Linked DNA regions of Arabidopsis thaliana. The protein of the gene in region 1 purifies or fractionates together with the protein of each later gene. This does not show direct contact. Each region holds a gene or a part of one and is shown in the gene's direction. Other genes may lie near its edges.

Region 1 (3,397 bases):
TATAAAACTGTTAATCAAATACCTAATTAAACCATTCAAAGATGTTATTAAAATAATTAATATCACAGTTTTACATTTCATTCCATATAAATAAGCAGGAATCTTATTGTTGTTCATCAATCAAAAACAAACAGAGCATTAAGCATATATTTGGCTATACTAAGGCTTTTTTATTTCTCAGTTTCTCATTATGCCTATCAAAAATGTGTTTTCACTCTTAGTGGTTCTATGCATCATAGTTTCTGTAAATGCTCAGTTACCTCAGTTTCCGGCTCCGTTTCTTTTTCCATTTTCGTTTCAACCGATTCCTGGAATGCCAGGATTACCTGATATAACGAAATGTTGGTCATCCGTGATGGATATTCCTGAATGCATTGCAGAGATTTCTCAATCCATTTTTATTGGCAAATTCAGTAATTTAGGTTCTGCTTGTTGCAAAGCATTTTTGGACGCTGAAGCCAACTGCATACCAAAAATTCCACTTATTCCGCTTTTCCCTCCGATGCTAAAAGAACAATGTTCAAGAATTGCCGGTGTAACTCCTCCTACACCGAAATAGAGTTTTAAATTATTATTTTTTAAATAGATAATTTTTTTTCCAATTTATTTCTTACAATTTTAGCTTACGCTACATGTTATACTCCAAAAAAATATCATATAAAGTAAAAACATTTGAGAAGTTGTATTTGGGTTCAATATTTACTCATTCTTCAATTCTAATGAATAACAGCTTGAAACATCGATTCTATAATTAACTTTGTCTTACAATGTTTCAAAACTTGGAATTATATTAGATAATTCCCTTCTAAATAGACAGTTGTGAGAATTAAATAATTTTTTACGAGATTTAAATTTTACATAGTAATCTGTATTTTCTAAATACAAATTTTAATCTTACACATTCTATAGATTCTATATAACATGCTTTTATTGATTACATATAATAAGGTATTTCTCAGAGTACAACACAAAGATAAGACAAAGACGACTGACGACATACAACATCAAGAAAAAGACGGACGCAACGGAGCCTCTAGATGCATATTGTTGTAAACAAATTGAACGATATAATTGAGGGAAAAAAATAAACTTAAGAAAATAAAAGAATAAACATATTTAAGTTATTAGAAAATATTAAAACACATATTAATATTTTTCAAAACAAAATAAAGAACTTATACTTCTGTTTTGAATATATCAATTTTAATAGAATTAGTTCATTAGTTCAATAGTTTAGTATATTAAATAAAAAATTTGAATATAGAAACATTATTTTTGACTTTATGTATATATTTCTTTTTCAATAAGGTTAGAAAAAATTTCTATTTATGTTTTTAAATATAAAAAAATTTGATTTGACATGTGCGAATATCTTATTAATAAATTTGACACGTGAGTTAATAATTTTGAAAACTCATTTCTTATATAATGAAATAAGCATTTGTTCGAGAAAAAAATATTAAAAACAAACATCTTCTATATGATTTATCTCAATTATAAAAAATCTGTTTTTTTCAGATGTTAAAAAAGAAAAACAATTGTGTCAGAGTTATATTATTTTCTTTTCATTAGTATAATTCATTAAAAAAAATTAACACTATCAATCTTAGTGTCGGAGTTATATTTCAAACATATTTTTGTTTAGAATATTAATATGATTATTGAAAGACAATAAACTTTTTTTCTTTTGACATAACACAATTTACATTTATTGAAAGACCTCCAAGTCCTTTCCCTTCGTCTCCCACTTCTCACTTCACACTGTGAGTCTGCGACTATCTCCAAGACCAAGCTTCATACTTTATTTTTGCAAATTCCGTTTCTAAACGTAAGTTTTCTTATCTTCGTTTCTATCAGATTACTCCTTAATTCTTAGTCTCGAAATAAAAAATTTGAAATTTATTCGATGTTATGCAAATTGCCGCCGACATAAAAACCCTAATTTCAATCTCATTTTTCATCTGAATTACATTTCTTTTGAATTGAATGTTTCTGGGTTGTGTTTTGGTTTTGGTATTAACTGATCTATTAGACTAATCCTTGTTCACCTATCAGATAATATTATTGGGCTCTGAAACAAATTTGACTCACTTTTGTGTGTGTGAGCATTGTATCTTCACTACAAAGCTCTAGCTTGAAATGTTGTTGTGTAATTTATAAGACTCTAGTTTCTAACTTCTTATGTCAAAATCACCTAAGAGTCTTTGACTTGGTTCTTGTTAGATCATAGTTCACTTACTTTTGTCTAATTTGGTTTGGTAGAAACTCTATAATTCACTAACTACCTTAGGACTTTAAAATTGTGGAGTTTAACAGGTGTGATCAGTATGGATGAGGAGGCATCTCGGACAGCAAGAGAGTCACTAGAGCTTGTGTTTCGCATGTCAAACATCTTGGACACGGGTTTGGACCGGCATACTTTGTCAGTTCTCATAGCTCTTTGTGATCTTGGTGTTAACCCTGAAGCTCTAGCTACTGTTGTGAAAGAGCTTCGTCGCGAGTCTATCCCCGATTCTGTCACAACCACACCATCTATACACTGATCAGGTATTGAGAATTTTCTCAGTCTAATGATGATTGACGAGTCTATGCCCAAGTCTACCTCTTTCTGTTGTTTTCAGATCTAACATATCGACCGGTCGAAATTTATGTTGCAGGTATGCAATGGATTATACAAGTATTGTGGTTGGTATGTGAATCTTGTTACTACTTTTTTTGTATCATTTAAACAAAATTTGTATGGATGAATTATAACTTCTTTTATTTGTATGAACCGTTATTTGAAAGCCAAAGTAGCAGAATGCAAAAAAAAGTATATAATTGTAATTTTATCTCTCAAAAGCTCATAGAAAATTCAGTGATCATGTGTCACTAAAGCAGAATGCAAAAGGAATTTGGGATCATCTGATTCACAACCCCTGGAAGGTAAAAACATTCTATGTATCCCCGAAGAGGGAAATCACACTCAATCAAAATCTCTGCACACCAAATCTCCGTTTTACATTCCTTAGTATAAGTCTTCCACCGAACTATCACTCTCCTTCCTCAGGCCAGGGTTTTGTCACCGAAATAAGATACTTAGAGGACGGTTCTTCAAGTCCTCTAATCGTGAACGTGCATATATCACCGCAGACTAGTTTCGAGTTTCAGAAACCCTCGCTGTCCACCATACGTTATTCTTTGACTCTAACAAGCAAACAGTAGGGCACAAACCAATAATTTTCTCGCGAGAAAATCTTCCAGTACATTTTGTTGGCTCCCAAGTCTGTGTCTTTGGGTCGTAAACTTCTCCATAATTCTCAGCAGTGTCATAATACTTACTGCTGATGCCTCCAAACACAGATCTTACCGTCGATAACATTAAAACATGCTTCTTCTCGAGGGACATGCATCTTGG
Region 2 (5,347 bases), on another chromosome or scaffold:
GTTCATATTTTTCTTCTGACACCCCGATGAACTGTTAGTAAAATGGCAATTGCTAAACGACTCCTATATCATTCTATCGCTATATATCTCATATTCCCCAATGTAAACGTTGATTGCATGTTGATCCACGTTTCACTCTTTGCCTAAACGTTTCAGAGACGTATGATGTGATGGATATTAAATCCATGAAATTCTTCAACTTAAACTAATTACTCTGCATTTAATCCATAAGTCAATAAAATGTATTTCCCGTTTCATTACAGTTTATTCGATTAAATTTTCAAATTAAAAAACATGAGCAAGTAATATACTTAATTATTATTTTACGAAGGATCAAACAAATACTAAAAACAGAAAAAGAAGATATGAAAATCACATCTTCGAAGAACCAGATCTTGTTGTAGAAATCCTTATCTTAGAGAGGATCCGACAAAACATATTCTTCTTCTTGTTGTTGTAATTATCGACGACAGCTTCGGTGTTTTGCTTTCTCTTCCACCATTTGGTTCCAAAAGCACCGCACAACAGTTTACCAGTCGTCGAATCAGAGGAACAACACAGATCAACGACGGTGTTGGCCCCACGATTGGCCTTTTCTTCCAGATCAGACGGTCTTCGAGAGCAGCAAACTTTTCCGGCGCCAGCAAGAGAAGGTAGAGACATGAAATGGCGTTCAATGATGTGAGTAAGAGAAACGAGCTCGTAGGAATCATAGAGTGGACTTCCACAATCCCATAGTATACGATCATCATCATCAACCATATTCTTCGTTTTCTCTGTGGTCTTTTTCATGAATGATGTTTTTGGAAAGTGGAAGTGTGTTTCTCGATGTAGATTTCTGACAGTGAGTGCGTGTCTTCTATTGAAAGTGTTTTAAGGTTTTTGTTTTCTTCCTCTAGTCTTTGTTTTTGGTCGAATGGACTTATAACAGTCAAGCTGGCGAGATTTGTTTATGTTTATTTGACGATTATTTACCTTTAATGGAGGTTTTTTTTTTTGTTGTTAATTACTCGTTAATGAATCCGGAAATTGGAGAATATAGATACACTACGAATTTGATAAAGGGAAATATGTGATTATCATTTTACCATTTTAGTTGGTTTAAAGAATGAACTCTTCCAATTTATCATTTTACCATAAAGGGAAATATGTAATTTAAATTTTTAATTTTATGTTGAATTTCAATTTAATCATAAATTTTCGTTGACTAAGTTGGTTAAGACATGTCGTTAGAAATTCTTCCAATAAAAAATCTTAGATCTTGAAAATAGATTTCCAATTTTTTTTTCTTTTTCTTCGGATTCTTGCTTCTTTTTTTAATTTAAAGTAATTTTTCGTCTCTAAGTCGACAGATAGCATCGAAAAAGAAGAATTTGTATCTCAATTAGCTTACTCAACGAGAATTCATGATTAAATTGAAAAACAACATAAAATTAAGGATTTAAATCACCATACCCAAAATTCATATTTTAAACTAACGAAAATGGTAAACTAATGATTTAAATGACATTTTTCCCATTTGATAATCAAAAAACTCTAAAAATTAATCTTAAAGTTAAAAGTTATTATTCCATCCTTTACATGCAAAATTCTTCCTTTTTAAGATTTATTGGGCTGAAGAAATACAAAACGGGCCTATAATTGGCCCAATATGAGTAAGCAGACGTTAGTTAGCTTAGCTGAGAGAGTGTGGCTTTAATTAGAGCATATGGTTTAGTGTTAATCTATGCAAAAATTTATCTTCTCCGTCCGCAAAAATTCTTTAAAGCATTGGATCGAGTTTTAAAAAGGTATCCGCGCCAGAGCTTAATTTAATCATTTTCATTTCTTCATCATTCATCATCTTCCTCACAGTCTCGAAACCCTAGTTTTGTACCCAATAACAACTTTCTGGGTTTAGAAATGCCTCGGGAGATAATTACGCTTCAGGTTGGACAATGTGGGAATCAGATCGGTATGGAGTTCTGGAAACAGCTTTGCCTCGAGCACGGTATCAGTAAAGATGGTATTCTCGAGGACTTCGCTACTCAGGTCCTTCTTCTTCTGAACCAACCAAGCCTCTCTTTATAATTAATTGTCTACTTGAATTTCTTAGGTCTTATTGATTCGAAATCGTTGTTTCTGGGTTTCTATTAATCGACAATTGAATACCCATTTGGGATTAGTGGATTAGTGGATTTTTGATGTTTTGATCTTGTTTGTGAAGGGAGGTGATAGAAAAGATGTGTTTTTTTACCAAGCGGATGACCAACACTATATCCCACGAGCTCTCCTCATTGATTTGGAGCCTAGAGTCATCAATGGTATTCAGAATGGTGATTACCGCAATCTCTATAATCACGAGAATATCTTCGTTGCTGACCATGGTGGTGGTGCTGGTAATAACTGGGCCAGTGGTTATCACCAGGGGAAGGGTGTTGAAGAGGAAATCATGGACATGATTGATCGAGAAGCTGATGGAAGTGACAGTCTTGAGGGTTTTGTTCTTTGCCACTCTATTGCTGGAGGCACTGGCTCAGGTAAATGATGAGGCTTTCTTCTTTTAGCATTCTCATGTTTTTTCACTGCTTCTTCTGATGTGAATGACTCCCTCCATCTCTCTCTCTCTTTCTTTCACATGAAGGTATGGGATCTTATTTGTTGGAGACTTTGAATGATCGCTACAGCAAGAAGTTGGTTCAGACATACAGTGTCTTTCCCAATCAGATGGAAACGAGTGACGTTGTTGTCCAGCCCTACAACTCACTTTTGACGCTTAAGCGGCTTACATTAAATGCTGATTGTGTTGTTGTCCTTGACAACACTGCTTTGGGAAGGATTGCTGTGGAGCGTCTACATCTGACAAATCCTACCTTTGCTCAAACGAATTCTCTAGTGTCTACTGTGATGTCTGCTAGCACAACAACACTGCGTTATCCAGGATACATGAATAACGACCTCGTTGGCTTGCTTGCATCTTTGATCCCAACACCAAGGTGTCACTTCCTCATGACTGGATATACACCATTGACTGTTGAGCGCCAGGTAAGATATCTCAACGAGTTTAATATCACAAAATAATTTTATGGGAAGCGATCATTGTATCTTGAACATAAATTCTACAGTGTGCAAATGGTTTTTTTGATTGATTTCCTGCTCTATTAACTGACTTGTTCTTGGCAGGCAAATGTCATTCGTAAAACTACTGTGCTGGATGTTATGAGAAGACTTCTACAGGTGAGCTGTTTGCCTTCTCCAATCTTTTTCCGAAACTTGAATCGGTTGTGCTTCTAACATGATTGTATTTGCAGACAAAAAATATCATGGTTTCGTCTTATGCTAGAAACAAAGAAGCTAGTCAGGCAAAGTATATATCAATATTGAATATAATTCAAGGAGAAGTCGATCCCACTCAGGTACTTTTACCTAGCTGTTTTTTGATCGGACACATTGAGGATGAATTGGTTATTCTTTCTTGCTGATGTAATCTGCTCTGTTATTTCGCTACTTGATACTAGGTGCATGAGAGTTTGCAGAGGATACGAGAAAGAAAGCTTGTTAATTTCATTGAGTGGGGACCTGCAAGCATACAGGTTCTAACCTAATTGTGTCTGCAAATTAGTTATTGCTTTTGGCTTCACCATGGACTTGAATCATAATTTTTTCCATATCTTACTCTCAACAGGTTGCTCTTTCCAAGAAGTCCCCATATGTTCAAACTGCCCATAGGGTAATCTTATATCACTCTATATCTATCTGTCATACTGAGAGTTGCCGCTCCTTACAGTTAATGTCTTAGGCTGCTAGTTCCTGCTTTAGAAGATTCAACAAAGACTCTTATTTTATGGTGTATTTGATATTTCAGGTCAGTGGTCTTATGTTAGCAAGCCACACTAGTATCAGGCACCTATTCAGCAAATGTTTGAGCCAATATGATAAGTTGAGGAAGAAGCAAGCTTTTCTAGACAATTACCGGAAGTTTCCCATGTTTGCTGTAAGTTGACTGCTCAAGTATAATGGCTTTGTTTGGCTGATGTTTAGTGCAACAAACCCAGCTTTGACAGTTACATGTTGATATGAACAGGACAATGATCTTTCAGAGTTTGACGAATCAAGGGACATAATTGAGAGTTTGGTAGATGAATACAAGGCCTGTGAGTCTCCAGATTACATCAAATGGGGAATGGAGGTATATAAGCTTTTCCCATCAATAATCTTACTTATGGATGAACTCGAAATGATAACTGTATCTGTGTCTGTCTCAGGACCCTGAACAGCTTATGACTGGTGAAGGCAATGCTTCAGGAGTTGTTGATCCGAAGTTGGCGTTCTGATTATTATATAAAAACAAAAACCAGAGTAAGTCGCATGAAGTTTCACTTTTAACTGAGATATTTCAGGTGATCATAGGATTACTTAAAAATGGGTTTTGGTAGGAGCAGTAGTAAGTGTTGGCACGTAAAACCTTGGAATAGTGGTATGATGTGGATGAGTTTTTTAGTCTGTTAGATGAATGTGTGTTTCCTGGGATTGAGAGCACACAAAGTTGCATCTCCTCACTCCTCAGGAGAAGGAATCTAGAATTGTAATATTTATGGGTGTTTTAGCTCATGTCTCTGTGATCGGAGTATCATGTTCTCCATGTGTGGTTAAAAGACTCGAAAACTCTAGAAAGCAAGAAGCATGTTGTGTTGATGAAGGAATTGGGTTTAATGGATTCTATTTTCTTTGTATATATGCTGTGATCTAAACTTTTACTAGTGCCGTGTTGATCATAGTAAATTCTATCGGTCAACTCTCCTTTGAGTTTCTTTTTGCATACGACGCCGTTCTGGAAGCAAATCAAACTTAACCAACAATATAAAATCATATTTATAAAAAAAAACCTTTGCAAGTTGAATTGAATTTACTTACTATATAAGAATTTAAATTTCGTGGACCTCATATTTTATAATATAATGGGATTAGGTAACAAATTACACTAATGATTTTCCAAGAAGTCGTTTTAGACGCGAGTATTTGTAAATTAGTAAGCAAATAATAAAAAGAGATGTTGACAAAACGATAAACAATCCGACATCAACTGCGATTTATTTGGCCTTATGATGAATAGATTTTACTTTTTAGATATCGAAAGTGTATGTTACTTTGTTTGTTAGCTAAGTCCTTATCTTTCTTCTTATTTTGAAACTAAGCATAATCTTACGAGTAAAAACCAAAATCTGACTAAAGACCTATAACAACACTTACTTACTAGCCGTTACATATGTTTCACTCAAAGCATAAATTTTTATAATAACAATTTGTTTTTATTCTCGTATCAATAATTTTTTTTAAAAAAAAGGGGAACAGCTTGGCGAATTATTCC

Evidence for each region. The genes of interacting proteins can lie anywhere in the genome.
Region 2: the proteins of GIP1 (region 1) and TUBG1 purify together in Arabidopsis thaliana (affinity purification with western blotting; 2 studies listed by BioGRID, with this or other methods). This does not show direct contact.

What each region holds. Positions count from the first base shown.
Region 1 is NC_003075.7:6,037,379-6,040,775, forward strand, and holds GIP1 (AtGCP3 interacting protein 1), read left to right. Parts: upstream 1-1,676; 5' UTR 1,677-1,828; exon of another isoform or gene 1,829-2,316; 5' UTR 2,317-2,327; coding exon 2,328-2,543; 3' UTR 2,544-2,547; intron 2,548-2,657; 3' UTR 2,658-2,848; downstream 2,849-3,397. Other genes in the region: CRP4 (ECA1 gametogenesis related family protein), read left to right, coding at 191-559. UniProt on the Arabidopsis thaliana protein: Required for gamma-tubulin complex recruitment to the microtubule organizing centers (MTOCs). During mitosis, modulates gamma-tubulin complex localization, spindle stability and chromosomal segregation. Necessary for gametophyte development and embryogenesis.
Region 2 is NC_003074.8:22,811,567-22,816,913, reverse strand, and holds TUBG1 (gamma-tubulin), read left to right. Parts: upstream 1-1,697; 5' UTR 1,698-1,902; coding exon 1,903-2,031; intron 2,032-2,206; coding exon 2,207-2,519; intron 2,520-2,623; coding exon 2,624-3,024; intron 3,025-3,162; coding exon 3,163-3,216; intron 3,217-3,290; coding exon 3,291-3,395; intron 3,396-3,497; coding exon 3,498-3,572; intron 3,573-3,664; coding exon 3,665-3,709; intron 3,710-3,844; coding exon 3,845-3,973; intron 3,974-4,063; coding exon 4,064-4,168; intron 4,169-4,244; coding exon 4,245-4,313; 3' UTR 4,314-4,832; downstream 4,833-5,347. Other genes in the region: AT3G61660 (uncharacterized protein), read right to left, coding at 373-792. UniProt on the Arabidopsis thaliana protein: Tubulin is the major constituent of microtubules. The gamma chain is found at microtubule organizing centers (MTOC) such as the spindle poles, suggesting that it is involved in the minus-end nucleation of microtubule assembly.